7 linked regions of the Macaca fascicularis genome follow. The protein of the gene in region 4 interacts with the protein of the main gene of each other region in a pairwise test. Links are inferred from orthologs where the notes say so. Each region holds a gene or a part of one and is shown on either strand. Other genes may lie near its edges. The genes, in order: ABI2, PTPN11, UBE2V1, TRIM32, SDCBP, SCGB1A1 and RABAC1.

Region 1 (4,006 bases), on a different chromosome or scaffold from region 4:
ATTAATATTAATATTTACGTTTTAAATTTTAAAATGTCACCACACTAAATTTTGAGTCCCATTGCTAAAACAGATACTGAGAGTAGTGACATTTTTCTCTTTTCAACTGCAGGAAATGTATATAATATTTAAAAAGACAACTGCTGCTCCCTTTAACCTTTCAGCTTTAATAATCCTTATCCTTTTACCTTTATATAGCAATTATAACTTAAGACGAACTTGTCCCTTCAAATTACAACAAAAAACCATCTTGCAAAAGAGAGAGAAATCTGCTTATTTTTTATTTCTTACTGGTAATAATTGCAATCCACTTTTCCACCCTCAATTTCTCTTCTGACCTGCAACTCTTTCCCCATAATATGCTGCACAAGGCAATGGAATTACCACTTCAGTCCTTTAGGTTTTGCCTCTACTAGAGTTTGTGAATTCCCTCAGAACAGCATTGCTTCCTCCAGTCCTCCTTGGCACCAGCAGTGCACTACAGAGCGTAAATTAACTACATGGTATTAATTTCCTCCAAGATCAGCCTCTCCTACTAACTAGACTATCAAACTCTGTAGACACTAGGTATGTACCATCCACCCCTCACACAGTTCTAGGCCATAAAAGACTTTCAATTTTAGAGAAACATTGAGCAACTGAACCTTTTTTTTTTTTTTTTTTTTTTTTGAGATGTAGTTCTACTCTTGTCGCCCAGGCCTGAACCTCTGAATCTTTTCTACCCCACTCATATCAGCAAAGTACCTTACAAGTGGACATTTGTATGTTTTTGTATTAACCTTGCCTACATTCCTTTCCTAGTAGCCATACTCAACTGCCTCTTGAGGGAACAGGTTTATACTGTGGTTCATTTTCAAATACAAATGTTGTCTACAAGATAATAGTATGTCTAATCAAACAAAATCTCACTTCCGTGATCAACAATGTGGCCATTACAAAACTTATGAACCTATAAAATTGTAACACCAGTTTCTTAAAATTTACACTAAAACATGAAAATGCTTTCCTATACAGCTAACGTTAAGAAAGGTGCCTCACGCCTATAATCCCAGCACTTTGGAAGGCCGAGGTGGGTGGATCACTTGAGGTCAGGAGTTCGAGACCAGTCTGGCCAACATGGTGAAACCCCATCTTTACTAAAAATACAAAAATTAGCCGGCTCTGGTGGCGGGCGTCTGTAGTCCCAGCTACTCGGGAAGCTGAAGCACGAGAATTTGCGCAAACCTAGGAGGCCGAGGTTTCAGTGAGTCGAGATTGGGCCACCGCACTCCAACCTGAGCTACAGATCGAGATTGTGTCTCAAAAATAAAAGAAAAAAGAAAGATCCCTGGAGAGATGGAGGTGGGAGCAGGGGGGGGGAAAAAAAAAAAGGACTGTGAAGAAACAGTTCAACATACTGCTTCCATTTCCACCTTTATCCCAAGAGAATTTAAATAGGAAAGAAAAAAAAAATGGAGGCAGAATCCATAATTCAAAATAACCGTTAACAAAAAAGCAAAAGATGCTGGATTTTGCAAACTGCATTTTAACCTGCTATCCTTTCAAGTAATGTTTAAAGAAGGATTTTTCTTTAATCCACAGAATATTTTGCTTCATCCAGGAGCAGCTGGATCTCGTATCATCCAGTATCCCCCGCCTCCACACACACGCCGCTACCACTATAAGCCCCTGTGCCAAACGATCCATCACGGTAAAAAATAATAATTAAAAAAAAATTTAAAAAACAGGAGGTTCATCTTCCCGATTCTAAGAAACAGTCATAGTCCGTCCTCTTCCCACCCCCAGGAAAATTGCCTATTCTAACGGGACTAGGAGGGAGGGGGGAGTCAGCTCACCATCCTTCTCCACAGGGAGAAAAATGGCATTAACTTCCAACAAGAGACTGCTGCTCTTCTACCGTATCCCCTTTAGAACATAAAATATTAAGAAAGGGTTTCTGAAGCATTCACAGGAACAGAAAACTGAAGCCTGAAGCACTTCACTCTGCAGCAAGATAGCCCCTTAAAAATCGTCCAGAATGTGGGGGATGGAAGTAACCCGTCAATACAAGCGACACCCCTACCCTAAGAGGGAGCAGGATTCCGTCAAACAGAAAATGCCACTCTCCGCCCCCTCTGCCATCCGGAACGCTGACCGGCGCGGAGTGCGGGGGCGGCCGAGGGCAGCAGCGGCGAGGAGGCGGGACGCGACACACGCACCGCGCCGAGGACTGCTTCACGGCTTTTAAAAAGGTTTTAAAAATGCAGTTTCTCCAGCCGGAGGATTCCCACCCATTCACCAGCCCCAGCCCTCACCCAGCTCCCCACCCCCATCGGGGACTCCGCCGGGCCGTGTCCCCGCGGCGGCCTCGGCCCCACACCCCGAGGCGCGCGGCCCCCCATGGGGGGGTCCCCTACGCGTTCCTCACCGCCCCCTGAGGCCCGACGCGCCCCAGCGGGGGATGCTCTCGCACCTGGATGTAGTTGTTCTCGCAGTAATCGGCCACCCGTTCCAGATTCGTGTAGCTGTCGAAGAGGGCCCGGCGGCCCCCCGGGATTTCCTCTTCCAGCAGCATCTGCAACTCCGCCATCTTCACATCCTCCTCCTCCTCCTCCTCCTCCTCACACAGCTCGCAGAGGGAACGGCGGCCGCAGCGCCAGAGAAACCCAGGACCGGGAGAGGAGGAGCGGTGGCGACGGCGGCGGTAACTCGGGAGGAGCGAGAAACAGCCCCAGCGCGCGACAGGGGAGGGGGCGACGGGGGCGGGGCGCGAGCCGACGGACTGCGAGGACGGTCACCGCGGCGACGGCCGGCCGGGCGCGCGCACGCGCGCTCCCCTCCCTCCGCCCCCGGGAGCCCGAAAAAGATTCCCACCCTCGCCCGCGCCGCCGGCCCCTCCCCCACTTCCGGCGTCTCCTAGCGACGGCGGGGGTAGGAGCGGGATGCGCACGGGAGGTGGTGGTGCTGTTAACCCTTCCGCCGCCCGCCCACCGCTGGAGCAACTCGAGAAGCCCCCACCTCCCGGCGTCCTTTGTTAGTCCGGCGGGAACGCACCACCCTGCTCTGCTGGCTTCCCGCCGGCTTCCTCCGGGACTCATCTCGGCTCTGTCCCCATGGAGGTTATCGGCCTGGGGAACTTCTCGAGTCTTTTCTGCCTCTGCCGCTGACGGGAGGCCGAAGGAGGGCACAGCCTCCACTCTTGGGATCCTCCTCTGTGAAAGATCACACTTCATCAGGGCAGGAATAAAACTCACAAACTTCCACGCAGTTTTCAATGCCACCTGACTTCATTTTTCTTAAATTTGACCTCATCCTCTTTATTGCAGTGAATTGCAGTTTCCTAACCCCAGCTTTCCTGCGCTCCTGCCTCTTTGCACTTCCCCCACTAACGCCGTTCTCCCCTGCCAGGTTAGCCCCTTTCTCTTGTGGTTTGCGGACCCCTGGGCCTCAGCTTTTTATGTTTGCCATTTCTATGAATCGCTTCCTCACGATCTTTTCTGTCATTTCTCTAATGCTATCAACTTCGCTGTCCTTTTTCCTATTCATGGATTCGGTATTTAAAATTTTGAAAACGATTTTGCTAGTAGTAATTGCCTTCTTCACAGGGCTGTTACATAGATAAAATCAACGTTTACGTGAAAACACCTTGAAGAAACATCAAGTGCTACAAAAATTCAAGGCAGATTCTTGAATTTTGTTCTTGCAGAGTTATAATTGTTTTTATTCTCCAGATACTGTGTCTTGTTTTCCTAAATCCGACTACCCCACACAGTGTAATCTGGAAAAACTAAAACTCCGGACAATTGCTGAGATATGAAGCCATGACCTTTATTTGTGCTGTGGAAAATCAAAGTTGACTCCAGTCTGTACCATCTTAGACTTGTGTAGTTAGAACAAGATCCATTGTTTCAACACTGTTCTTAATCTGGTGATCTCTTGGCCCTCCTACAGTGAATTTTTTTTCACTCAGATGATGAGGAAACATACTTTCCAAAAAAAGTCACTTTAGCCCGGGCGCGGTGGCTCA
Region 2 (4,245 bases), on a different chromosome or scaffold from region 4:
TTACCACTTGCTGCTTTGACTATGCCCACACTTCCATGCTTCTAAACTAACAAACTGGACAATGTAGGGTCTAATACTACACAGATCTTTTCCCAACCCTCAGCCCCCTAAAGCAGCAAATCCTTACTTGTCTGGAAGAGCAGACACCAGGAACAAAAGGCTCAATGACTATTAGACAGATTAAAGAATAGACAACTGTTTATTTAAAAGCTCCCTAAAGAATTAGAACATTTGAGGCTATACACTGTTCCGTTGAAATGCAGTTATATATTACCCAGATCCGCAAGCACTTGCCAACAGACCTGTCCAAGTCACTCACTTCCTACGAGTTCTGTTTTCTTTTTTCTCCCCTTTTTAAATTCCAGATCCATGTAAGAATAACATGCCAGGTCTGTTTGGAGGAGACATTCCTAATATTTTGAAAAATCTCATTCAGGCCGGGTGCGGTGGCTCACGCCTGTAATTCCAGCACTTTGGGAGGCCGAGGCAGGCGGATCTCGAGGTCAGGAGTTTAAGACCAATCTGGCCAACATAGTGAAACCCCGTCTCTACTAAAAATACAAAACTCGGCCGGGCACGGTGGCTCATGCTTGTAATTCCAGCACTTTGGGAGGCCGAGGCGGGCGGATCACAAGGTCAGGAGATCGAGACCATCCCGGCTAACATGGTGAAACCCCGTCTCTACTAAAAATACAAAACATTCGCCAGACGTCGTGGCGGGCACCTGTAGTCCCAGCTACTTGAGAGGCTGAGGCAGGAGGATGGCTTGAACCCAGAAGGCGGAGCTTGTAGTGAGCCGAGATTGCGCCACGGCACTCCAGCCTGGGCAAGAGAGCGAGACTCTGTTTCAAAAAAAAAAATTAGGCCGGGCGCAGTGGCTCAAGCCTGTAATCCCAGCACTTTGGGAGGCCGAGACGGGCGAATCACGAGGTCAGGAGATGGAGACCATCCTGGCTAACACGGTGAAACCCCGTCTCTACTAAAAAATACAAAAAACTAGCAGGGCGAAGTGGCGGGCGCCTGTAGTCCCAGCTACTTGGGAGGCTGAGGCAGGAGAATGGCGTGAACCCGGGAGGCGGAGCTTGCAGTGAGCTGAGATCCGGCCACTGCACTCCAGCCTGGGCGACAGAGCATGACTCCGTCTCAAAAAAAAAAAAAAAAAAAAAAAAAAAAAAAAAAAAAAAAAAATTAGCCAGGCATAGTGGCATGCCGATAGTCCCAGCTACTTGGGAGGTTGAGGCAGGAGAATCGCTTGAACCTAGGAGGCGGAGGTTGTGGTGAGCCGAGATCGTGCCACTGCACTCCAGCCTGGGCTGTTAACAGAGTGAGACTCCGTCTCAAAAAAAGAGAAAAAAAAAGAAAGAAAAAAAAATCTCATTCAAATAGCCTCAATAGCTTGAATCGTTTTTTAAATGTCTGAGACAGTGACCATAATTGAACAACCATGGAAAAGAATAGACAATGGGTCTTAAGTGTGAGTGGTATATAGAGTGATTATATAAAATAGCAGGATCATTATCTGAAAACAAGTCACACTACTGTTTGACAACAAAATTAAGGCTTACAAGTGGTTAGCAATAGTTACAAAATAATAGAAGCAACATAGTGATTAAAAGTAGGGATTCTGTCTCCACCACCTACTAGCTGTGAGGTTAAGCAATCTACTTAACCTCTCCGAAACTCGGTTTACTCATCTTTACAATGGGGATAATAGTAGCCATCTGAGAGGGCTGTCGTCAGAACTAAGCAAATGTTAGCTATTAGTAGTAATATTACCCTGATCTTTCAAAGGATCTCATTAACTCACTAATTCTCCTTAGTTTCAAATCTTGTCATTTACTAGCATGTTGCTTCTGGGCCTCGGTTTCCTCATCCATAAAACGGGTACCAGTAAAGTGACCTGACTGTTAAGGTTGCAGTGAAGGATTAAATAACGAGATGCGGCTCCCTTCCTTTCCATCTCCCAAAGCGAATATCGCAGAGGAAGGAAATACTTCTAGTGGCTGCAGATACAGTCAGTTTTTCCATTTCTGGCACGTGAGGGGTGGGAGAAAAAGAAGACACAAAGGGGCACATAAAAGGGTCAGGGGTCCTTCGTTAAGACCCCAAATGCACGCAAGTGGCACAGTGACCCAGAACGACTAGACCACTGGGGGCCCGGCCCCGCGCAACTCCCATCTCGTGTCCCAAGGAGCCTCCCCAAGTGAGCAGGGTTATTTCGGAATCACCATGAGGCAATTCTCATGAGGCAATGGGTCAGGAATGCGGCGCTGAGCCGGGCCGCTGGCGCCCGTGGTTCCCTAGGCGGCTCTACCTGCCCCAGGCCTGACGGGCATCCCCCGGGCTGCCGCAGCCGGAACTCAGGGAGGCAGGAAATGAATGGGGACCCAAGGGGTGGGGGCGCGGTGGGGCCGGCCCCCGGGCCGAGGAGGGACAGGGGACGAGGAGGGAACTGGCCCCCAATCCCGATCCGGGGCGGGAGCCCGAAGCCCGGCCGGGGCGCCCCCTTCCGGACGGGGCTGACCGAATGCGGCGGGGGCCGGGCCGAGGCCCGGGCCGGGCCCCTCGGGGCTCCTCACCTCCGCGATGTCATGTTCCTCCCGCCCTCCGGCTCCGCGACGGACCCGCTCCTTGCTCAAGCTCCACTAGGCTCGGTCACATCGGGCTGGCCCGAGGGAGGCCCGCTCGGGACCGGACGCGGGGCAGAGCCAGCCGGCCGCGCACAGACCCCCCTCCAGGCCTGGGGATCCCGGAGACTGTGCAGCCGCCCCCCGGCCCGGCTCGCTCCTCCTCCGCCCCCGCCCTTCGCCGCCGTCGCCCCCGTGATGTCACCGCTAGCGACGCCCGCCGCCACTTCCTGCTTCCCGTTAGCCGAGGACGGAGCCACGGCCGGGAATGGCAGCGCGGGGGTTCCGCGGAGGCGCTAAGCGCAGCGTCCAAAGCATCCTTGCTTCCTCCCGGAAATCGCGGCCGCCGGGTGTGAGCTGCGCGCTCGGCGGCTACGCCACTCCACCGACCGGGCGCGTCCGGGCCCACTGCCACATCGATTTCATTCATTTCGTTCCACAAATCGCCACTCGACTCATTAGCTGTGGAACCTTGGGGAATTACCTACTGTCTCCGAGCCTCAGTTTCCTCCATTAGGCTGGGCGCGGTGGCTCACGCCCGTAACCCCAACAATTTAGGAGGCTGCAGCAAGAGTGTCGCTTAAGCCTAGGAGCTAGAGGCCAGCCTGGGCAAAAAAGACCTCATCTCTACAAAAAATGCAAAACCCTAGCCAGGCGTGGAGGCTGCGGCGGGAGGATAACTTAAGCCCGGGAAGTCGGTGCTGCAGTGAGTCGTGATCACGCCACTGCCCTCCAGCCTGGGCGACAGCAAGACACTGCCTAAAAAAACTAGTAATAGACCGGGCGCGGTGGCTCACGCCCGTAATCCCAGCACTTTGGGAGGCCGAGGCGGGCGGATCACGAGGTCAAGAGATCGAGACCATCCTGGCCAACATGGTCTCCACTAAAAATTCAAAAATGAGCTGGACGTGGTGGCGTTCGCCTGTAATCTCAGCTACTTGGGAGGCTGAGGCAGGAGAATCGCTTGAACCTGGGAGGCAGAGGTTGCGGTGAGCCGAGGTCGCACCACTGCGCTCCAGCCTGCAATAGAGCCAAACTCCGTCTCGATAATAATAATAACAAATACTACTTTGGGGTGGGAGCAGTGGCACACGCCTGAAATCCCAGCACTTCCCTTTGGGAGGCTGAGGCGGGCGAATCGCTTGAGTCCAGGAGTTGGGAACCAGCCCCGGCAAAATAGTGAAATCCCATCTCTACAAAAAATACAAAAATTAGCCGGGCGTGGTGGCACGCGCCTGTAGTCCCAGCTACTCGGGAGGCTGAGGTGAGAGAATTGCTTGAGCCTGGAGGGTCGAGGCTGCTGTGAGCCGAGATCAGGCCACTGCACTCAGGCCAGGTATGGTGGCTCACACCTTCATCCCAGCACTTTGGGAGGCCGAGGCAGGAGGATTGCTTGAGCCTAGGAGTTCAAGATCAGCCGGGGCAACATGGCACGACCCTGTCTCTAAAACAAAAAACAAACAAACGAAAAAGCTGGGTGGTGGGGAAGTATTATTTTGGACACTGTGAAGCTCGAGGAAGAGGGCAAGGCCAGAAACGGAGAAGCCAGTCAAAATACGGGAATACTGTAGTATTCTGGTCTGGGAATAATGGTGACTCAGACCAGATTGAGAAGAGT
Region 3 (4,258 bases), on a different chromosome or scaffold from region 4:
CATCCTGGTTTGCCCTGGAGAGCCCTGGTTTCCACTTGCCCTGGTGAGATTATAATAGGTCCTCTTTTAATCTGATGAGTGTCCTCATTAGGTGATAATCTATGGTCACTCAACTTGTAGAGTTTGCATTTTATCCAGAGGGAATAGGGAGCCACTGAAGGCTTTAGCTGGAGGGTGTTTTGAGCAGATGTTGGTCCATATGGAGAATGGACCATGGGGGAGAGAATGGAAGCTGCCGGGGTCTTCCAAGTAGGAGATAAAGACAGCTTGTCCTGAGTGGAGAAGTGAATGGAGCAGGAGAGATGCAGAGTAGGCATTGTTGTCAGACAAAGGTGATGAATTGGATGTGCTGGGTGAGGGCTTCCAGCTTCCTTGTCCCTCTTTGTTTAGAGTCCTAGTCCTTCTGCCAGTATTTTGCTCTGTGACCTTAAGCCAGTCCCTTCACCTGTCTCAGCTTCAGGGTCTACATCCATATAAGGGCTTCTCAGACAATTTATAATATAGGAGGATTAACTTCTTGGGTTTATTTGCAAAAATATTTCCCGAGGGCCTTTGCACAAGCTGTTCCCTCTACCTCCTCATTGTTAGGGTCTCTGTTGAAATACGACCACGTTAGGAAGCCTTTCCTGACCATCCTCCGCTGCCCTTTTCTTGGTTTATCTCTAGCCTATCAGAATTGTAGTTTCCTGTTTATTTACTTGCTATCTATGACTAGAATGGAAGCCCCTGAAAGCAGGGATTTGCTTCTTCAGAGATGTCTATCCATCCCCAGCTCCTAGCACAGTGTCTGGTACATAGTAGGTGCTTAATGTTTGTTTGGTTGAATGAATGAACGAACGAATGAGTGAATGAATGAATTGGGCAGATGGTTAGCAAATGTTTTCCCTGCCACCTTATTGCCCCCAAATCATTTAGCTGCACCCACTTCAAGCCTTCTCTGGCCAGGGAGCATCAATCCTAGAAGCCAGATCATCTGACCTGGAGGGTGACGATTCAAATTCAAATTTGAACCTGGAGGTTAAAATTCTGTCTGTCTCTGCCACTTAACAGCTGAGTTTAGATAAATCGTTTAATCTCTCTCGGCTGCATTTTTCACATTAATTCCGACCTTGTGGAGATGTGGTGAGGATCTAGATAGGAACTAGACAGGAAAAAGCCCCAAGTGAATTCGGCGCTTTTGTTTGAAGCTATCTTTTCTTTTTCTTTCACAATCGCGCCTTCCCAAGCCTCGTCACCCCTGCCCTTCTCACTAAGCACGTCACAACCTCCCTCGCACCCGATGTGGGGGGACTTGCAGGTTGCTGAGCCCTCGAGCACGCAGATATTTCCTTTCTCTAAAAGGGAAGGAAAAGAGCCTCCCCGGCCTCGGGTCGCGCAGGTCTCCGGAGCGGGCGTCAGTGGCGGCGTCTGTGCGTGCGCGCGCGCCTGCGCATCAGGGCCAGGGGACGGGTGGGGGGTGAAGAAGGGGCCGGCCTTCAAGCAACAGCGACGCAAGATGGCAGCCACCACGGGCTCGGGTGAGCGGGGGCGCCGGGCCCGGCCGGCCGAAGGGGCATGGGCTTGGGCCGGGGGCTGGGGACTCTCAAAGGCTCCTGCAGGGGGGCCAGGGTCCCCGCGCCGCCTCTGTCCGGTGGGCTCCGCTGCAGCCACGGGCAGGCGGTGGCCGGAAGCACGGGCGGGGGGCTGAGGGGCCTGTGGGCGGCGCGGCGAGCCTTAAGGCTCCCCCGGGAGGCGTGAGGGCCCCGCTGCGCTACCTGGGGGAGCCGGAGTGGGCGAGGAGCGAGCTCCAAGGCACTTCTGAGGAGACCGGGGCTGGCGACTCTTTAAGGGGCGACCAAGGGGTTCCTTAGAGGAGGAGGCGCCCCACAGCGGATGGAAGTCCCGTACTGGGTGCCAGGGGTGCGGCTGAGGGGGGGGCCTTGGGATGTCTGGAGGGGACATCAGAGGAGCCCCTCAAGCTGGATGGGAGGAAGAAACGGGATCCTGAGGGGGTGACTCGAGAGGATCCCCTATTGGTTGAGGGGACGGCTCCGGCGTTAGTTTTAGAGATAGGGTTAGCCGAGGAAATAGCTGTGTTGACTAGAAAGGAGGAGCCTTGGAGCGGCTGCTTTTGGGGAGAATTAAGGAATCTCCGCATGATAAGTGAGAGCGGGGGGGAAAGGATTCAGATGCCACAGGGACTTGATTGCAGTGATAGTGAAATGACCCCATCATTACCAGTCTCCTATTCGAGGATACAGATGGATTGCTCCAATTTCGCTTTCAGGGGACAGGTCCGTTGGGGCAATTGGTGGAAGCCTCTGATATTGAATGAGGAAGAACAGGTGAATTGGGAATCCCGAGGATGTCTCTTTGGGAGTGGGGATTCAACTGAGGGAAGCCCCTGAAATGAGTTAGTGGAGAAGGTCGGGTTCCAGAGATGTTTCTTGTAAACGAGATAAGTCTCCTCTTTTTGAATTGAGTGAGGGAAGCATATCCTAGAAGTGTCTCTTCTGTGGAGACGCTCACTCTCATCCACTCCTTTGATAATTGGGACAGATATGTGGGTTCAGCTCAGAAGTTCCCCACTGGCTGATGGGAGTAGGGAGGTGAATAGATGAAATGGACACTCTTGGGTGAGGCTGCACCCTCGGGTGCCTGGCAGTGAAGTTGGCCAAGGAGGTGCTCTCAGATGGGGTGAAGATGGGTTACCTCTGATGGAGGAAGGAAACAGAACCACAGTGTTCCCCACTGTGGGGCTGCAGGGACACGAACCTGAGTACGGCAGTCATTGGGGTATTTAAGGCCACAGCAGGGGCAGTGTTGGGAAGGAATTGGTGATCCATGAGAAATAGGGTGAGGGAAATTCTTTACAGTGTTGCTCCTCTGCGGTCTCAAGGAGCCATACTTGTCTGATGGTTGGGGTGAGAATAAAAGAAATTGAATATGGGGGATCTGACTGAAGTGACCCACCAGAAGCTGCTGCCTTTTGCATTTAAAACAGTGGGGTCTTCTTGCAGCATAGCGGAGACCATGAATCCTTTTACTCGATTTTGGTTTCAGCTGGAACAGTGCTGAGTCAATTCATTTACCAAGACGCTGCCCCAGGCACTCCCAGAAGAGAGATTCTGAGTCAGGCCAGACTGCTGGGGGAAACTTCTCACCAGAATAACACTCGTACCAGGTCGTAATGAAGCAAGGGGCCCAGTGTGCTGGCGGTAGCCAGCAATAAGGTGCTGTTGCAGCTCAGCCCTGCTTGCAGTCACTCGGTTGGCTACCTACAATCTGAGTTAACAGGTGCCCGATTCTAACTTCTGGAGACCCTGACAGTTAAAAAGTGAGTGCTTCGTAAATGGCTATGGCGATCAGATAAAATGTCAGCTGCTCTCGAGTGGAATACAAGAGCATTTGGCATGGTTTAAATAACATAGAACAGGCTTTGAGGTGCCCTAAAATGGACTTCCCAAAATTCTTTTTGTCTGTTTATTCAAAAGATATTTACTGAGGGCCTATTATGTCCCATTGTGGATAGCAAACAAAACAGACATAGTCTGTGTCCTTTGGGAGCTTCCATTCGAGTCAAGGAGAGAAGGCTGTTAAGGGGTAAATAAATAAGACAATTTCAGATAGCAGTAAGTGCTATGGAGGAAATTGTGTGATATGATAAAGAGTGTCTGGAGAGGTGGTCAGGGAAGGCTTCTCTGAGAAAGTGACATTTCAACTGAGGGGAATAATGGAAAGCGCCAACCCTACAGTGTCACAGGTAGGAGAGAGGGTGGACTGTGAGTGCAAAGGCCTTGTGGTGGGACTGAGCTTGGCATGTTGAAAGAACAGGATAAAAGGCCTTAGTGTGCAAGCAAGGCTTGTTAAAGAGATGAGTTGGAGAGACATGGCTTTGGATTTGACTTGGTGTGAGGGGAAGCCATCAAACAAGTATCTGGTATGAAGTAGGCAGTCAGTAAATATTTGTTGAATGAATAAATAAGAGTCTTAAAAAGAGGAGTATGGCAAGATCTGACCTAAGTCCCTAGGCAGTGAAAAGAGTGCAGGGTGCTAAGAGTCCCTAGGCAGTGAAAAGAGTGCAGGGTGCTAAGCAGACCTTACTTGGGTTAAACTAAAATGAGTGTACAGGCCTCCCTGCTTTCTAACCCTGAGAAGTCTTCCAGGTGTGGTCAGGGCCCTGAGGCCTTCCTTAGTCAGGTTTAGAGTGAGGCTCTTTATTAATCTGTGCTTCTGGTTGCCAGGAAACAGCTGTGAAGCCTTTGAGTTCCTGTAAGGG
Region 4 (4,080 bases):
GACTGATTGAATTCCCATGACATATTTTCTTTTAGGGATGTGCATGGATATTCCAGCTAAGTCTTGCTGTCAGATACAGTCAAGTTTTGTTTCTGAACTGGCTTCAGCAATGCTGTAGCTAGTCCTGGAAATGATAGAGCCAATGCTACTATTCTGTTCCAGGGAAAAGCAGTCCAAAAGAGACCATACACAACAGTAGTTACTCTCCTTCAAAGTATGACTGCCTTCAGCCTCAGTCCCTGCTGTGCCTTCAGCCTCAGTCCCTGCTGTGAGGTTTTTTTTTCAAGCCAACAGCCTCCATACCTCACCCCATAGTCCGCTGCACCTCATCCTGCCTGATAACTTCAAGCTCCTCTCCTTATCTAGCCCCTGGTCTTGGTCTAAGAACAAACCAAGAACAAAGTCCAGGGCTCCTCCCAATCTAGTCAGAGAGATTTATCCCCCAACTTTAGAGTTCAATCTGATAGTCAGTGATTCTCACTGGGCAATCCTCGTTTTCATTAGAGGGGAATGGGCTGAGAAAATAAGACTAAGCGGGTCCTAGCAAGGAAAGTGGGAAAATACAGAGTTACAGAGATCTGGGTATGAGCTTAACTGTGTCATTCCTAGCTATGAAAACTTAGGCAAGTCACTTCCTAAGCCTTAGTTTCCTCATGTGTAAAACTGAATACAGTCCTTAGAAGGACTGTCATGAAAACTGAGTAAAGAAGTAGATACAAGACTAAAAATTACTAGACTTTGAGAACTTACTATGTGCCAGATCCTAGGCATGCTAATTTACTTCACTAAATCCTCACAACAATTCTGTGACATAGGTCCTGTTATCATAACCCCATTTTACAGATGAACAGCCAAGGCACTGGGTGGTAAGTAACTCATTCAAGGCCACAAAGTCAGGAAGAGATAGAGCTAGGACTTGAACCCAGGGTATCTGATTCTAGGGCAGAGTGCCTCAACTTTGGCATTACTGACATTTTAGGCAGGATAATTCCTTACTGGGGGGGAGGGGCTTATCCCATGCATTGTCAAATGTTTAACATTAACATAAAACATTATATTTAATGTTTAATCTACCCACTTGAGGCCAGTAGTATCCCCCACCCTAAGTGTGACAACCAAAAAACATCTCCAGACATTGCCTAATGTCTCCTAGGAGACAAAGCCACCCCTGATTAAGAACCACTGCTTTACAGTCTAGCACAGGACTAAATGCTCAATACATAAGGGTTCCCTTTTTTTGTTGTTGTTTGATTTTTTTGTTTTTTTTGTCCCTCTCCGAGCCCAAACATCTCACTCACAGAGCCACTGCCCCTTCAAGCTGCAATGGATCTTATATAGGATAAATTATTCCACTCATTCCCCTGGAGGTCTCACATTCTATCTGCTATGGTAGCTTGGGAGTACAAGGAAAAAGGGCTTAGGCAGATGACCTTGAATAGTTCCATTTCTTCTTCCCCAAAGCCTACCACTTTCAGTGGACCGGGGGAGGGGGAGGGAGAAGGCGGTGGTCAGAGTGTAGTTAGTGGCAATACCATACCTGCCTTATGATAACGGATCTTTGTTTAATAAATGAAGAAGATTCTACCCTTCACAGGGATTACCACACTCCTTCAGGATATCTGAACTGAAGATTTATCACTTTGTTCCTGAACACCTGAACTCTGCTCATCTTCATATACTCATCCAGAGTTTCATACATTACTTTTAGGTCCTTGGGTCCCCTAAACTCCCCCCGTCTCCCATGCAGCGATTTAAGGAAAATCTCTTTAGCAGCCCAAGACACCAATCCACATATCTACTCAGTGTCCTTTGATTCTATAGCCCAGTTAGGACATCTCCACCCCACGATTCAATCCTCTCCAAACCCTGTCCTCAACCCTCTTACAATACCAAATTCCAATCTTTGGGGCTGTATAACGCAACCCTCATCAATTCCTCACTCATATGCCTCAAATCCCTCGGACACAGATCCTTTAATCCCTATTTCCAAATCTTTGCCGCACTCAGCTCCGCACCTCAGTTCAACGCCCTAATTCCTCACTTCAGATTTCTGCTCTCCCTCAATCTGAACCCCCATCTCCTGCATTCCATCAGGCACTGTGCCGCCCTCAAACCCTGCTCCTTCCTCTTATGCACTGAATGTCATGTGCTGCCTTCACAACTCAGCCAGCTCCCTTCTTCCTGCTAACAAGAGTCCCCCAAGAACTCACCCCACCCCCTCTATCTCACCCTCAGCCCACTCCGAAAGCCCTTTCTCAATAGCACTTAGAATCGCCCTAGACCTTGCTCCTATCATCTTACACCCTATCCTTGCCAGATGCCTAGCGCCCCCAGATTCCCTCAAATCTCATCGGGGCCCCCCAGTTCCTTCATATTTCTGAAATTCTGCACCCAGGTCCCTCCAGGGCCCTGATTCCTTCCCATCTCCCACATGCTGCACCCCGTTCCTCCTCAGGGCCCCCACATTACCTCATACCTCCCGAGATGCTGCCACCGCATATCTCTTCAGAGCCCCTCGCTCCCCTCCCCCAGCTCCATCTCCGCGGATCTCCTCAGCCCCACGAATCCCTCCCGAGCCTGCCCCTGGCAGCCCCACCCCCACCCTAGTCCTGCCCCTCAGATCCGGTCCCCAGACCCTGCCATTCGGGCGCGGCCGCTGCACGCCGGCACGTTCCCCCGACCGGCCGCTGAGCCACGGCCCACGACTTCGGCCGCGGTCCCTAGTCCCCAGCCCTCCTTCCCGCCCCCTACCTGACCGCCCGCAGCTCCGACGAGTCCACCGCCGCCAGCCCACCCGCCCGCCGTCCTCTGCGCACGCGCCGTTGAGCGCCCTTTGCCGGGCGCCAATTCGCAGAGCTCCCTGTCCGTCACTGAGCCCCGCCTCCCGAGGCATGCTGGGGCTTGTAGTGCAGCGGGCCCCAGCGCGCGGGGCCAGGCGGCCCTGCAGGGGTGAGCTTTCCTCTGAGAACCCGGGGCCTTAGCGACACGTAATCCAGTGTTCCGTCGCCTTTGTGCAGATGAAGAAACCGAGACCCATGGGCGAAAGAGACCTGCTCAAGTTCACTCAGTAAGTCAGGAGATAAGCCAGAATGCGTATCTGACTCCAGTCCAAATGTCTACCCTTTCACAAAACTGTAGCCTCCAGGGTAGTCCTCAACAAAGCGTTGGCACCTTGCTGAATCTGTTTTTCCATCTGAGAAATGGGCCAACGGAAGAATCAAACTTCCATTCTGGGGAGGTCGAGAACCGGGACTCCCTAGGAAGGGCAGTGCTTTGGCCCCATGTCCTGTGCTCTGATAGAGCGCTGCACTAGAGACAAGTTTATCCATGAACACATTGCTCTGTAAAGGAACGTTTTGCCTACTCAGCTGGGAGGCCGACAGCAGAGGCAGACATGGGGAGTACACGCTGCAGCCCCTGTCCCTGCAGGCTGAAGGTACCCGGGAATCCAAACCAAGTGTAGTTTTGGGGAGTCAGAGGTGAAGGTGGAGGAGTCTTACCAGTTGGGAGGTGACCTGGCCTGAGATTTGAGGGAATCTAGGGCACTAGGCATCTGGCAAGGACGAGGTCTGATACAGGACTGACTAGCCACGACCTGCACTCCCCGAAGTAGTTTGGGGCCAATCACCTATTCTCCAAGGTGATTATACTGTACAGCTTAGGAGCACAAAGGAGTTTGAAGTAGGATGGTCTTGGATTTGAAATTCCCCTTAGCTATGTGACCCTGCACAATGATAAAACAGTAACCAAAAACAATGACTAACATCTTTGAACACTTGCTGTCTGGCTACAGCTAAGGACTTCAGGTGCATAGCTCACTAAATCCTCATAAGGACCTCATGAGATAAGGCAGCTGATGGTTAACCTACACCTAACAAGGCCACCTGTGCCTAAGTATTGGCGCCCAGATTTGTACCCAATTCTATCTGAGAACCCACTCTTAACCTTGTTTACTCTTTCTCCCCATTTTCTAAATTTCTAAGTGAAGTTTGCCAAGAAGATAAACCAAGATTATGGTAGTTTGTACTTAATGATAACTATATTTGAAAAATTGCAATTAGCAGGTAGGGGATAAGGGAG
Region 5 (4,108 bases), on a different chromosome or scaffold from region 4:
TGAGTGCTGACATGAGGACCAAGGGAAATGCTCACTGGAGCATTTTGGGTTTTGGAGTAGGGATGGTAAACTCGTAAGTATATAATGCAAATATTACAAAAGCAAAAAAAAAAAAATCAAAAATTGGAAACATTTCTGGTCCCAAGCATTTTGGCTTAGAATGAGTCTGTTTTAAAGTTGTTCATGCAAACTTGCTATAATTGCTTTTCATTCTGTCTATTTTTTTAGAGGAGTGTCAATTTTTTCCAGATTTTCTATGTTAGAAATCATCTCATCTGAAAGCAAAAAGTTGTGTATCTTCCTTCCCAATCTACCTTGTAATTATTTTTAAATGTCCATTTCATCAGCCTAACTATAACCTTACTGACGGCAAAGTTTTCATCTTTAGTTGTCACCTCTTTTACACTCAGATTTTTATTAGTTTTGCCACATATTAAATTATTGTGGCACTAATTTAGCTAGAAATAAACAGCTTGTAAATGCTATTTTGTCAAGGACTCTACAGTATTCCATGGTAACTATGCTTACTCTTGGGTAAACTGTGCCTCAGTTTCTTTGTAATGGGATGTTGTATTTATTTTATAGACTGATGTGAAGACCAAATAAGACTATATATTAAGTTCGTAGAGCTATGGCTGGCACAAAATCAGCCCTCAAGAAATGATCGTTATGTTTTTGTACTGGGAAGCAATTACTTTTGCGCACCACCACAAGTAACTCTCAGCAGCGAAGGAATATTAGCTCAGGAGGACATCGTAATACGCCCCCCCGCCACCCCAACATCCAAATTTCAAACAGAAAAATAAAGCAGGACTTGCGAAGGGGTCGTGAGAAGAACGTTTCTGAGCCTATAGTGGACAGGTACAGCAAGCGGAGAGTGTTACTAGGGCAGCAGTGGTGGAAGTCGAAGGCATCCCAAGAGGGAGCATAGGCTCCAGAGACCTCTTTGAATTGGAGGCGACGAGGACCAAGAGACCGTGAGCTGCGATACACACTGTAGTGAGTGGGTGGCACGGGGCCCGCGGGCACTAACTGCCGAAGAGCGGAGAAGACTGGGAGCATAACCGCTGGGCAGCGGAGAGCGGCCGGCATGGACCGCCCCACACTGCCGAACACCTGGAGCTGCAGGAACGACCCACGCCCAGGCCTCTTTACCCCTACCGCCCGGTTACCTTAGGGACGCGATCACCTGACCCTGCGCGGTGCGCCTGCGCGGGCCGAAGGCGGGGGGCGGTGCCATGACGCGCCTCGGGGGCGGTCCTCGGGCGCGCGCCGCTCTCTTACCCTTGGGCCTCAGAAGTCCGTGCCAGTGACCGGAGGCGGTGGCGGCGAGCGTTTCCTTGTGGGGCTAGGTAAGAGGCCAAGCGGGGAGGAAGGACACCGGTGCCGGGTCCCGGGCGCGGGGACTTGGGGCAGAGGCGTGAGGGTCCCCGGGCCACTTCACGGACTGCATCCCGGTCGCAGCCGTTTTCGGGAGGCAGCGGCGACGCCCTCTCCTCAGGGTGCTCCGCGCCCCTCCCTGCGCCCTGCTGGCTGGGTGGCAAGTTTGCGGGAGCAGCGCGCTCTGCCTGCCGCGACCCCGCGGGTTTCGGGCTCCTGCGTGGGCTGGGGCTGGGGCTGGGGCTGGGGCTGGGGCCGGGGCTGGGGCCGGGGCTGGCTGAGCCCGGAGGCCCGGCCGGGTGAACGCCGGCAGCCCCCGCCCCAGCTCTGGGGTTCTTCCTGGGACAGTCTCTCGATCCTTGTTTTCTCCTCGATACGATCTCGAGTTGAGTAAAGAAAGAGCCTCTGGTCACGGTTCCTCCCCGTGCTCCGCGTTTCTTGGTCTGTACTTAATCACCCTCCTTTTGGGTTATTCGGGAAGTCCTGGATTTGAAAGGAGGAAGGAAGTGTTCGTTTAGTGGGCGAAGCCTTGACTTTTTTTGGAAGGGGGTGGGGAGAGGTTTTTCGCCTTGAGCTTTTTCCTGGAGAAGTTGGACCTGAGGGAGAAACGTTTCCAGTTGGGTGTGTTTAGAAGGAAATACCCCTGAGATCTGACGACTCAGAGACTTCCTTTCAGGATTTCCTTGTAATAATGGGAAAGGGAAGGCATATGGATGTGGAAAGTTTCACTTTTACCAAAGTGGGATTATTGAGTCATAGAGTCTTCGAATGTGCCCATTTTTGAAAGGAGTTTCTAGATTATCTCGTCTGTATAACCACATACAAGTTTACTGTTGACTTTTCCATTGCGTACATTGCTTAGAAAATACGCTCGGCTTACCAAACTCTTAATATCTGCTTGTTTCAAAAATAAATAGTTGATTAAAGGAGGACATTTACATTGAAAAACAACGGCGGGCCTTTTAAATTGATTTCTAAATGTGTATGTGATTAGTTAAAACTCAAATTTGTTCAGTCTTTTTATTTTCCTGTTTAAGATTGAGGGATAACGGTAGAAAATATGTCCTTTTGTCTTCTGTGTTACCAACTTAATTCTATAAACTTTTGTGCCTTAAATGGTACAGAAATATTATAAATCAAGTGGTTTGTGGCACAGAATAAAAAGAAGTAGAATGACTTTTAAAATGGTCAGTAAGTAGTCACTCCATTGAAAATTAAATTTAACTTTGGAGACATTAACTTTTAGTTTTGGGCATTATAGGAAAAGATGTAAAAAGGAGAAAAAGAGGAACAATAGGGGAAGAATTTGCTAATGGTTGCCGGTTAAATGTACTGTTTAAAGAGTTTCTTAAAATGAGCGTGACACAACTATTTTCTCTGTTTTTGCCAGATTTGGGTACTTTTCATAGGTATTAAATGCCAAGAGATTCTAAAAAAGAAAAGCTCCCCCAAATAACTTTAAAATACTTTCTACTTTTAGCAATAGTTAACGTTAGCATTTATTAATTTCTTTTCAAGTGCTGCCAACATCTTTTGTAAATGTATTGTTTTTGAGTAGGTAAACAGTCACATGTCTCAAAATTTAAGCAGTGTAAATAGGTATATAGTATCAAGTCTCCTTCTGGCAGGCAGGCAACTTTTTTACATTTCTTAGGTATTCTAGGGATATTTTATATCTACATAGGCAAACATATAAGCTGTATTTGCCTCCTTTTAGCACAAACATTAACATTTTATATACTGCTCCACATTTTGCTCTTATTTTTCCAGTTAGTGATAATATTTTGGAGCTTTTCTAATATCAGCATGTATAGCTTTCAAGTCTTTTGCTGTTACAGTCAGTGCTGCGGTGAATAAACTTTTACATATGTTGCTTCCTTTGTGCACATATATTTGTACACTTCAGGTTTTGAGACCTGAAGTGATACTGCAGAGTTGGAGGGTATCTGAATTTAGAATTTTGGTAGATACTGCAAACTCACTCTCCATGGTAATTGTACTAGTTTATGCTCCCATTAGTAGTATATGAGTGTTTCTCAAAGCCTTGATGTCAGAGAATGTTGTCAAACTTTGGATTTTTGCCAATTCACTAGGTGAGAAATGGAATCCTATGGGTAAGGATTAAATATTCTACTTGGAGTGGACTTCATATGGACATACTTCTTAATGGCTGATCATTAGAAACCCCCAGGATATTTATTAAAAAGAAGAGTTCCTAAGTCCTTCCATGAAATCTGTGTCTGCCCAGGAAGCTGATTTTATAATAACTAGAGCCTCGGGTAATTTGGCTGTGATGATTAGCCAGATTGAGAAACATTGCTCTGGAAGACTGCTTAGGATATATCAAATTGTGTTTCTAGACCTCATGTATGAGCCATCTGGAATGCTTACCATCTGGGTCCAATGGATACTTTATTTTTTCATTTTTTAGTTTTTATTTTTTTTAGAGATGGAATCTTGCTGTGTTGCTCAGGCTGTTCTTGAACTCCTGGGGTCAAGCAGTCCTCCTGTCTCAGCCTCCGAAAGTGCTAGGATTACAGGCATGAGCCACACGGTTCCTGGCCTGATACTTTATTTTTATATTTTAAATTTTTCAGTCACTCTATGAATAGTTTGCAGAAGTGAAATAATGAAACACAACTTTACGGCCGGGCCCGGTGGCTCAAGCCTGTAATCCCAGCACTTTGGGAGGCCGAGACGGGCGGATCACGAGGTCAGGAGATCGAGA
Region 6 (3,979 bases), on a different chromosome or scaffold from region 4:
ACATTCTCAAATCCACAAATAGTAAGAGAGGGCTAAGTCGCTGTGTCGGGGAGAGGAGAAGTGAAGTTCAAATGGTAGGCAAAGGCCAGTGGGCAAGGGCCTTGTAAATTGCACTTGAATTTTATTCTATAGGCAAAAGGAAGAGTTTAAGGGTTTCAAGAAGGACATGACCAATGGGCTTTAGGAAAATCATTCCGATGGCCTTTCCGAGGATGGCTGAGGAAAGCAAGCTGGGAAGCAGGGAGGTTGAGTCAGGGGATTTTGACTAGGCCAGGCTAGGTGCTATGAAGCCCGGGCTTTGGAGAAGAACCAGGAAATGGCAACTGGAGGCAAGAAAGAGGAGAAGGCCAAAGCCTGGGAACCATCAACACTCAAGAACAGTAAAGCATAAACATCTAAAGAGAACAAGAAGGAATAGCCAGAGAAGGAAAACAGGAAAGAACTGAGGCGTGGGAGCGCAGGAGAGAGAATGGTTCGAGAAGGAAGCGGTCGCAGGTGTCAAGGCCGTTGGGAGGTCAAGTGAGATAAGGACTGAAGGTCCTGCCAATTGGCCCATCAGGAGCACAGGACTTGAGAGCACTTCTGGGTGGGAACAGACCCAGCCTGTGGCAGGGCTCGGGTTTCTGATGGGAATTCTGGAAGGGTCCCTTTTGTTCAACAGTCCAGGGCCCCCCCAAGTCTGACCACGGCAATGCTCCGAACCACGTCACTTTCCTGGCTTAAGGTTCAGTCGCCCTCCTCAGAGGGGAGCCTATGAAAGAGCCCAGTGGAGTGTCAGCATCCTAAGTCCTAGTCCTAGTCCTCTCCCTGCCACTTGGGAGGGACCTTGGGCCTCAGTTTCTCCAGGTGGGCTCCACAATTGCTTCTCTTGACCTGGACTGCCCCAGTGCCCAGGTTCAGTGACTGACACAGGCAGCTGGGTTTCCCCATCCTCTGACATGGGTTCCCTTCACTGCCTTCAGGCATGGCTCGGCACTCCACCCCCAAGGGGCCCATTGTGTGAGCTCAGTTTCAATGGGGACAGAAACTGAGTTGAGAAACGGGAATATTTACCTATTCCGCCGAGCCAATGCCCAAGCAAATAGTGCGGTATCTTACGTAGAGCCCTTGCCCTACCCTTCCCCATCTGGGCGCTGCCGCCTGGAGCATATAAAAAGCACCTTGCTGGGCATGTCTCCTACTAGCCCACCAGTCTCAGAGACGGAATCATTGATGGGCCAGAGCATCCCCCGCCTCCACCATGAAACTTGCTGTCACCCTCCCCCTGGTCACGCTGGCTCTCTACTGCAGCTCCGGTGAGTGCTCAGAGTCCCTTCCCTCCCTCCTGGACTTAGGAACTCTCAGGACCCCCCAGTTTTGCTCAGAAGAAGGGGTGAGCTGCCCGTGTCTGCTCTGTAGCCGCTGGGAGGACCTGGGCATGCTGAGTCTCAGAAAACTGGGTCTGGTGAGCAAGTTCATCTTGGGAACTTGGAGAGAGCCCCAGGCTGTGAGGAAGCATAAAAAGGGTCCCATCTTCCATATCCAGCAACCCTCAGAATCCCAGGGAATGGAATAGGCTGGAGGGAGGGGTGGAGGACACCTCATAAAGATGAGTGCATCCAGCATAGGAATAATGAGGCCCTCCTCCCAGACCTGGACACACCCCAAGATGCCGAGACCTTGGTGCAGCCTCCAAGGCTGGGGTCTCCACTCCATGCTGGCAGCTGAAGTCACTGGAAGGGGAACTGCAGGGACTCATGACCCCAAAAGAAACCCAACCCAAGACAAGGTATCCCATTCTGGGCACAGAAGAATATTCCAGAAAGAGATCTTCCCTTTGGGGAACTGCCAACCCAGAGTGGAGTTTTCTAAACATTTCTGTCCTCTGCAAAAGGGATTAGGAGTCTCTGAGTAGTTGCTGCTGTCATTAAAAGGAAAAGAATTGTGGGGGAAAGAGGGGTGGACAGAGAGAGGGAGAGAGGGAGAGAGGGGAGAAAAGAAGGAAGGAAGGATCACACCTCTCTCCAAGATCCCCCGTCTTTGGAGAACTGGGTTATCTAACTCTGTTTTTCACTCTGCATCAGCCTCTTCCATTCTCGTCTGAAAATGTTGTTGTTGTTTTTTAATAAATAAACTCCAATTAATTCACTTGGAAAGCTTCACAGCACCCATGGAGATAAGTTTTATGACACTGGGGAGTTAGAAAACCCAAACCAAGAAGCAGTAGGAACAACTATTTTGCAGCAAGGCTTATTTGTTTTTCAGAGAAAATGACATCATCTTGGACTGAAATGTGTATTAATTAGATCTCAGTGCTGTCTGCGTACAGAGGTGGGTGGCTGAGCAAGATAGTTCTGAAACATGTTAAGGGGTGGGTCAGATGCATTTCATTTGTCTATTTGTGTGCGCACACATACAATATTTAACGCTTCACGCAATGTGACAATCACTGTCACCCTTTCACATAGTATCTCTTTTCTTTTTTCTTTTTTTTGGGATGGAGTCTAGCTCTGTTGCCAGGCTGGAGTGCAGTGGCACACTCTCAGTTCACTCACTGCAACCTCCGCCTCCCGGGCTCAAGCGATTCTCCTGCCTCAGCCTCCCAAGTAGCTGGGATTACAGGCACGCACCACTGTGCCCAGCTAATTTTTGTATTTTTAGTAGAGACAAGGTTTCACCATGTTGGCCAGGATGGTCTCGATCTCTTGACCTCATGATCCGCCCGCCTAGGCCTCCCAAAGTGCTGCGATTAGGCGTGAGCCACTACACCTGGCCTCTCTTTTCATTCTTACAACAACTCTATGAAGTAAGGATACTGGGCCAGGCACAGTGGCTCACGCCTGTAATCCTAGCACTTTGGGAGGCCAACTCATTTGAGGTCAGGAGTTCAGGACCAACCTGGCCAACATGGTGAAACCCTGTCTCTACTAAAAATACAAAAATTAGCCAGCCATGGTGATGCATACCTGTAGTCCCAGCTACTTGGGAGGCTGAGGCAGGAGGATCACTGAACCTGGGAGGCAGAGGTTGCAGTGAGCCGAGACGGCGCCACTGCACTCCAGCCTGGGCAATAGAGCGAGACTCCGTCTCAAAACAAATAAATAAATAAAAATAAAATTAAAATTAAATTAAAATTTAAAAAATAAAAAATAAAATGAAGTAGGGATATTGTTCCCATTTTACAGATGAGAAAACTGAGCTACGGAAAGACAGAGTGACTTGCCTGGTGACATAGTAAGTTACAAAGCAAGGACCTAAGTTCTGGAGAGGGTCTGACTTAGAGTGGCCCTTTCTAGAGAGGCCCTGGAGTCAGAGGAGGGAAGGCAAATTTGTACGGGAGGCAGAGAATTCAAGGACAAGGGATTTAAGACTCACTGGGAAGATGGAGGCAAGCAGGGGGTAGAAAATGGTGACTTTCCCCCATGTTCCTGATTGTAAGGACCTGAGAAGAAAACACAGTGTTGAAGCTCTGTGTTGAAGGGAATGCAGCGGTACAAGTGGCTGCTCTGTCCATGAGCTGAGTGTGCCACACTTCCCGGCCAGGTTGGGAGGCCCATGTTTGGCTGGTACAATCACAATGGCTTCTTCCTTTTTTTTTTTTTTTTTGAGACAGAGTCTCACTCTGTTGCCCAGACTGGAGTACAGTGACGAGATCTCGGCTCACTGCAACTTCTTCCTCCCGGCTTCAAGTGATTCTCCTGCCTCAGCCTCCCAAGTAGCTAGGATTATAGGCACCCAGCACCATGCCCAGCTAATATTTTGTATTTTTAGTAGAGACAGGGTTTCACCATGTTGGCCAGGCTGGTCTGGAACTCCTGACCTCGTGGTCCGCCCGCCTCGGCCTCCCAAAGTGCTGGGATTACAGGTGTGAGCCACCGCACCCGGCTTACAATCGCTTCTTCCTGCCAGAGCCTGAATTTGTCACATGCCCGCAGTGAAGCATGGCTCAGGGCATCCCTAGCCACTGAGGAGAGGCAAGTTTCCGGCGGGTAACAAAACC
Region 7 (4,210 bases), on a different chromosome or scaffold from region 4:
TCCCAGCTACTTAGGAGGCCGAGGCAGGAGAATCGCTTGAACCCAGGAGGCGGAGGTTGCAATGAGCAGACATTGTGCCACTGCACTCCAGCTGGAACAACAGAGCGAAACTCCATCTCAAAAATGAAAAAGAAAACCCGATTCCACTAAAAGCCTGGGGGTGACAAAGAGGAAATAAATAGTAACTAGCCAATCTGATCTTCAAAGTGTAACTCTTCCATCTTCAGTGTGGGGCCCTTGCAAAGGGCTTCCCTGCCTATTGCACCACCAGCCCCTTGGACAGGGCCATCTTCCCCCCACCTCCTGGGAACGCCTTCCAGCAGGCTTCCAAGCACAAACCCTGAAGTGCCGTAGATCTTGGAAGACAAGACCTGGGCCTAAAAGAGTCACTTGGGGCCAGGCACAGTGGCTCATGCCTGTAATCCCAGCACATTGGGAGGCTGAGGTGGACGAATCCCAAGGTCAGGAGTTCGAGACCAACCTAGCCAACATGGTGAAACCCCGTCTTTACTAAAAATACAAAAAATTAGCTGGGCATAGTGGTGCACGCCTGTAATCCCAGCTAGTTGGGAGGCTGAGGCAGGAAAATCGCTTGAACTCAGGAGGCAGAGGTTGCAGTGAGCTGAGATTGTGCCATTGTACTCCAGCCTGGGCAACAAGAGTGAGACTCCATCCCAGAAAAACCCACAAAACTTCCCAACCTTTTCTCTTTCCCAATTTCACTCCCTCCTGTCCAAAGGTGTGTGTGTTTGCAGGTGGGGGGGGGGTGGTGGCGGTGCGGAGGTGTCCCTAGTCCCAACTCATTCATCTTTGGGACTCCACAAAGTGGGGCAGGGGGCAACCTCAGATACCCCTCCAGCAACCATGACCCACTCACTAGCCTCAATCTCTTGAGGAAGGAATCAATTCCCACAAACTCTCTAAATCTTTCTACTCAAAATGTGGTCCATGGACCAGCGGCATCAGCATCACCTGGGAACTCAGAAATGCGAATTATGGGCTCCACCCCAGACTTGCTGAATGAGAACATCTGGGGTGGGGCCCAGGAGTCTGTTTTAGCAAGCCCTCTAGTTGTTTTTTTATGCCCTCTAGAGTCAGAACGACAGCTCTGCACGGTCCCCATTGTGCCCTGCCTGGGAGAGTACACAACACCCTCTTCTGCCATTAGAGCTCCCATAACGCCCTCTTTCCTGACAGCGCACCTGCACCCTCCTGAAACTACAGGTCCCACAATGCCCAGAGGTGCGCGCCGTCACTTTCTGGGATTATATCTCCCAAGGTGTCTTGCGAGTCAGACCGCCATCATGGCGCCCACCCTCCCAGCCACCGTCAGGACTACAACTCCCACAATGATCGGCGGCAGAACTACAGTCCCCAGCTGCTCCCGAGCGGCGCCACGTCGACTCCGCTGGGTGGGGCCGGCCTCGGGCGGGGCCGGCGGGGTCTGCAGGGTACCGGGCTGGTTACAGCAGCTCTACCCCTCACGACGCAGACATGGCAGCCCAGAAGGACCAGCAGAAAGATGTCGAGGCGGAAGGGCTGAGCGCCACGTGAGCGAGCCGGCTCTAGGCCCTCGGACCCGAGGCCCGGGAGTCCGGGACCCTGGCCCCCTCCTCCCTCGAGTGCCCGGAGTCCCAGCCCCGAGACGCACAAGCGCTGGCCCCGGTCTCCTCTAATGGGACCCTGGCGTCTGGGCCCCTACCCCCCTCCCCGCCTGCGATTCAGTAATCTGGGGTCCCGGGAGGGAGTCCAAGCCCCCTTAAACCCCTTCTTTTGCGGGGGTCTGAGGCTCCATCCCGGTCCACCACTGACCCGGCCCCACCCCTCGCAGGACCCTGCTGCCGAAGCTGATTCCCTCCGGTGCAGGCCGGGAGTGGCTGGAGCGGCGCCGCGCGACTATCCGGCCGTGGGGCACCTTCGTGGACCAGCAGCGTTTCTCACGGCCCCGCAACCTGGGCGAGCTGTGCCAGCGCCTCGTACGCAACGTGGAGTACTACCAGAGCAACTATGTGTTCGTGTTCTTGGGCCTCATCCTGTACTGCGTGTGAGTGCATCCCGGGCCCTGCACCCGCACTAGCCCCGACCGGGTGGACCCCTCCTCTCACAGCTCAGGCCCCGCCCTTCAGCGCCCGGGCCCTCCTCTCACCACCCAGGCCCCCCTCCTACCGCCCAGGCCCCTCCCCTCACCGCCCAGGCCCCTCCTCTCACCGCCCAGGCCGGCCCCGCCCCCAAGGATTGGCTCTGCTAGACCTACTTTGTCACCAAAGGGCCAGGTCCCTACCCCACCATCACCCTGGCCAGGATGCAGTGTGACTGAATGTCACCTGGCCCTCCCTGGTCTCCAGAATGTAGCTTGCCTCCCGCCGGTGGAGAAGGCCAGGGCTCCCTGGCTGACCAGCCCCAGCTGCCTAACCGCTGCCTCCCTGCACTCCTCCTCCAGGGTGACGTCCCCTATGTTGCTGGTGGCTCTGGCTGTCTTTTTCGGCGCCTGTTACATTCTCTATCTGCGCACCTTGCAGTCCAAGCTTGTGCTTTTTGGTGAGAAACCCCCTGCCCAGATGAATCCTTGGTCCCTCGAATCTTGGTCTTTTGGAATGCAAACCTCAGACCCCAAATCCAAGTCCTTCAAAACCCAAGTCCGCCGAAGCCTAGATGTACACTAGATCTCCCAAACCTGATCCTTTAAAAATCTCAGACACAACCGATGCTCCCATCGAGTCTCAGCCCCCTCAAATTGCTATTCCTCAAACCTAGGCTCCACCTGGCTGCTGTGCCTTAAACCTACTCCTCTTCAAACCACATGACTCCTCCCCTCTCTCCTCCCCTTGCCGCTTTCTGCGGCAAGCATCAGCTGCAGGTGCCCACACTGGACACCAGGTGGCGAACTTACACTGGCCTAGATCTGTTCCCGTTTCTTTTCCTGCTTTCTGGGATGTGACCAGAAAGAACTTGGAACTTGGGGAAGCTGAGGAGTGTGTTTCATGTGGTTCCCAGACTAGTACCAAGGACCACTGGGAGAACAAAATGCCAGGGGAAATTCCCCCCAGGGGAAAATCAAGGTTTGGAGTGGGGTCAGGGAGTTGGGATTGGGCTGTCAGGTAGACCTGAAGGCCAGGCTCTTCAGGGGCCTGCAAGTTATGTGCATGACGGGCTTAGGGGGAGGGAGCGCCTGCAGCACAGGCACCAGAGCATGCAGACCCCATCCCTGAGACTTCTATGGGAAGCGTGAAGTTGGTATTTTTATGTGAAATCATTCACTTTGCCAGCCACAAATCACATCCTTGTAAAACATCTCAAAACAAACACACATCCACAGGTCAGATTTGGCCTTTGGGCCACCAGTTTGAGACCCCTGGTCTGCGTGAGGGTTGCAGCAGGAGAGCCCTAGTCTAGGGAGCAGGAAGCTGGGATCCCAGGAACTTCCTGGAGGATGTGGGGCAGAGGGCAGAGCGTGGGGCTGAGGCAGGCGAGGACGGTGTGCTGTGTTCTGGAGGGCAGTGAGGACACCAGGGGAGCAGGGTGACCCCAGGACCTGGAGGGCCTTGGCATGAGGAGTTTGGATTTGATCCCGAGGACCTGAAGCTTATACAGATTGTTGGGGGGCAGCAGGGGTTACTCTGGGAGAGGGCATGAAGGGTCGGAACAGCGCCCCAATGCCATCTGCTTTCAGGCCGAGAGGTGAGCCCAGCGCATCAGTACGCTCTGGCTGGAGGCATCTCCTTCCCCTTCTTCTGGCTGGCTGGTGCGGGCTCGGCCGTCTTCTGGGTGCTGGGTGAGTACAGGGTCTGAGCAGCTGGGGTGGATGGTGGGGGCCAGGTACAGGAGCATGGCCCTGAGCTGCCGGCTTTCCTGCAGGAGCCACCCTGGTGGTCATCGGCTCCCATGCTGCCTTCCACCAGATTGAGGCTGTGGACGGGGAGGAGCTGCAGATGGAACCCGTGTGAGGTGTCTTCTGGGACCTGCCAGCCTCCCGGGCCAGCTGCCCCGCCCCTGCCTACTCCTTCCTGCACAGCTCTGCTGCTCGGGCCCATAGCGCCGTCCCATCACAAGCCCGGGGAGGGATCCCGCCTTTGAAAATAAAGCTGTTACGGGTGTCATTCAGGAAATACTCCCCTAGCATCTTCTGTGGGTCTCTATGGGTGCAGCTGGGAATACTGTGCAGATCAGGGTTGGGGTGGAACCTGGGGTGTGGGCAAGATGATAAGGTAAA

Evidence for each region.
Region 1: the proteins of TRIM32 (region 4) and ABI2 interact in binary tests that used the Homo sapiens proteins (3 or more experiments, as listed by UniProt). The link is inferred for Macaca fascicularis from reciprocal best matches to the Homo sapiens genes TRIM32 and ABI2.
Region 2: the proteins of TRIM32 (region 4) and PTPN11 interact in binary tests that used the Homo sapiens proteins (3 or more experiments, as listed by UniProt). The link is inferred for Macaca fascicularis from reciprocal best matches to the Homo sapiens genes TRIM32 and PTPN11.
Region 3: the proteins of TRIM32 (region 4) and UBE2V1 interact in binary tests that used the Homo sapiens proteins (3 or more experiments, as listed by UniProt). The link is inferred for Macaca fascicularis from reciprocal best matches to the Homo sapiens genes TRIM32 and UBE2V1.
Region 5: the proteins of TRIM32 (region 4) and SDCBP interact in binary tests that used the Homo sapiens proteins (3 or more experiments, as listed by UniProt). The two-hybrid records come from large-scale screens. The link is inferred for Macaca fascicularis from reciprocal best matches to the Homo sapiens genes TRIM32 and SDCBP.
Region 6: the proteins of TRIM32 (region 4) and SCGB1A1 interact in binary tests that used the Homo sapiens proteins (3 or more experiments, as listed by UniProt). The two-hybrid records come from large-scale screens. The link is inferred for Macaca fascicularis from reciprocal best matches to the Homo sapiens genes TRIM32 and SCGB1A1.
Region 7: the proteins of TRIM32 (region 4) and RABAC1 interact in binary tests that used the Homo sapiens proteins (3 or more experiments, as listed by UniProt). The two-hybrid records come from large-scale screens. The link is inferred for Macaca fascicularis from reciprocal best matches to the Homo sapiens genes TRIM32 and RABAC1.

The regions. Positions count from the first base shown.
Region 1 is NC_088386.1:99,220,140-99,224,145, reverse strand, and holds the start of ABI2 (abl interactor 2), read right to left. Parts: upstream 2,801-4,006; 5' UTR 2,570-2,800; coding exon 2,453-2,569; intron 1-2,452. UniProt on the Homo sapiens protein: Regulator of actin cytoskeleton dynamics underlying cell motility and adhesion. Functions as a component of the WAVE complex, which activates actin nucleating machinery Arp2/3 to drive lamellipodia formation.
Region 2 is NC_088385.1:119,340,137-119,344,381, reverse strand, and holds the start of PTPN11 (tyrosine-protein phosphatase non-receptor type 11), read right to left. Parts: upstream 2,801-4,245; 5' UTR 2,594-2,800; coding exon 2,580-2,593; intron 1-2,579. UniProt on the Homo sapiens protein: Acts downstream of various receptor and cytoplasmic protein tyrosine kinases to participate in the signal transduction from the cell surface to the nucleus. Positively regulates MAPK signal transduction pathway. Dephosphorylates GAB1, ARHGAP35 and EGFR.
Region 3 is NC_088384.1:106,203,791-106,208,048, reverse strand, and holds the start of UBE2V1 (ubiquitin-conjugating enzyme E2 variant 1), read left to right. Parts: upstream 1-1,458; 5' UTR 1,459-1,495; coding exon 1,496-1,517; intron 1,518-3,042; exon of another isoform or gene 3,043-3,316; intron 3,317-4,258. UniProt on the Homo sapiens protein: Has no ubiquitin ligase activity on its own. The UBE2V1-UBE2N heterodimer catalyzes the synthesis of non-canonical poly-ubiquitin chains that are linked through Lys-63.
Region 4 is NC_088389.1:41,394,299-41,398,378, forward strand, and holds the start of TRIM32 (E3 ubiquitin-protein ligase TRIM32), read right to left. Parts: upstream 2,801-4,080; 5' UTR 2,752-2,800; exon of another isoform or gene 2,470-2,751; intron 1-2,469. UniProt on the Homo sapiens protein: E3 ubiquitin ligase that plays a role in various biological processes including neural stem cell differentiation, innate immunity, inflammatory resonse and autophagy.
Region 5 is NC_088382.1:68,531,546-68,535,653, forward strand, and holds the start of SDCBP (syntenin-1), read left to right. Parts: upstream 1-1,308; 5' UTR 1,309-1,352; intron 1,353-4,108. UniProt on the Homo sapiens protein: Multifunctional adapter protein involved in diverse array of functions including trafficking of transmembrane proteins, neuro and immunomodulation, exosome biogenesis, and tumorigenesis.
Region 6 is NC_088388.1:11,638,154-11,642,132, reverse strand, and holds the start of SCGB1A1 (uteroglobin), read left to right. Parts: upstream 1-1,179; 5' UTR 1,180-1,240; coding exon 1,241-1,295; intron 1,296-3,979. UniProt on the Homo sapiens protein: Binds phosphatidylcholine, phosphatidylinositol, polychlorinated biphenyls (PCB) and weakly progesterone, potent inhibitor of phospholipase A2.
Region 7 is NC_088393.1:48,998,616-49,002,825, reverse strand, and holds RABAC1 (prenylated Rab acceptor protein 1), read left to right. Parts: upstream 1-1,410; 5' UTR 1,411-1,494; coding exon 1,495-1,550; intron 1,551-1,831; coding exon 1,832-2,044; intron 2,045-2,440; coding exon 2,441-2,538; intron 2,539-3,670; coding exon 3,671-3,772; intron 3,773-3,855; coding exon 3,856-3,944; 3' UTR 3,945-4,106; downstream 4,107-4,210. UniProt on the Homo sapiens protein: General Rab protein regulator required for vesicle formation from the Golgi complex. May control vesicle docking and fusion by mediating the action of Rab GTPases to the SNARE complexes.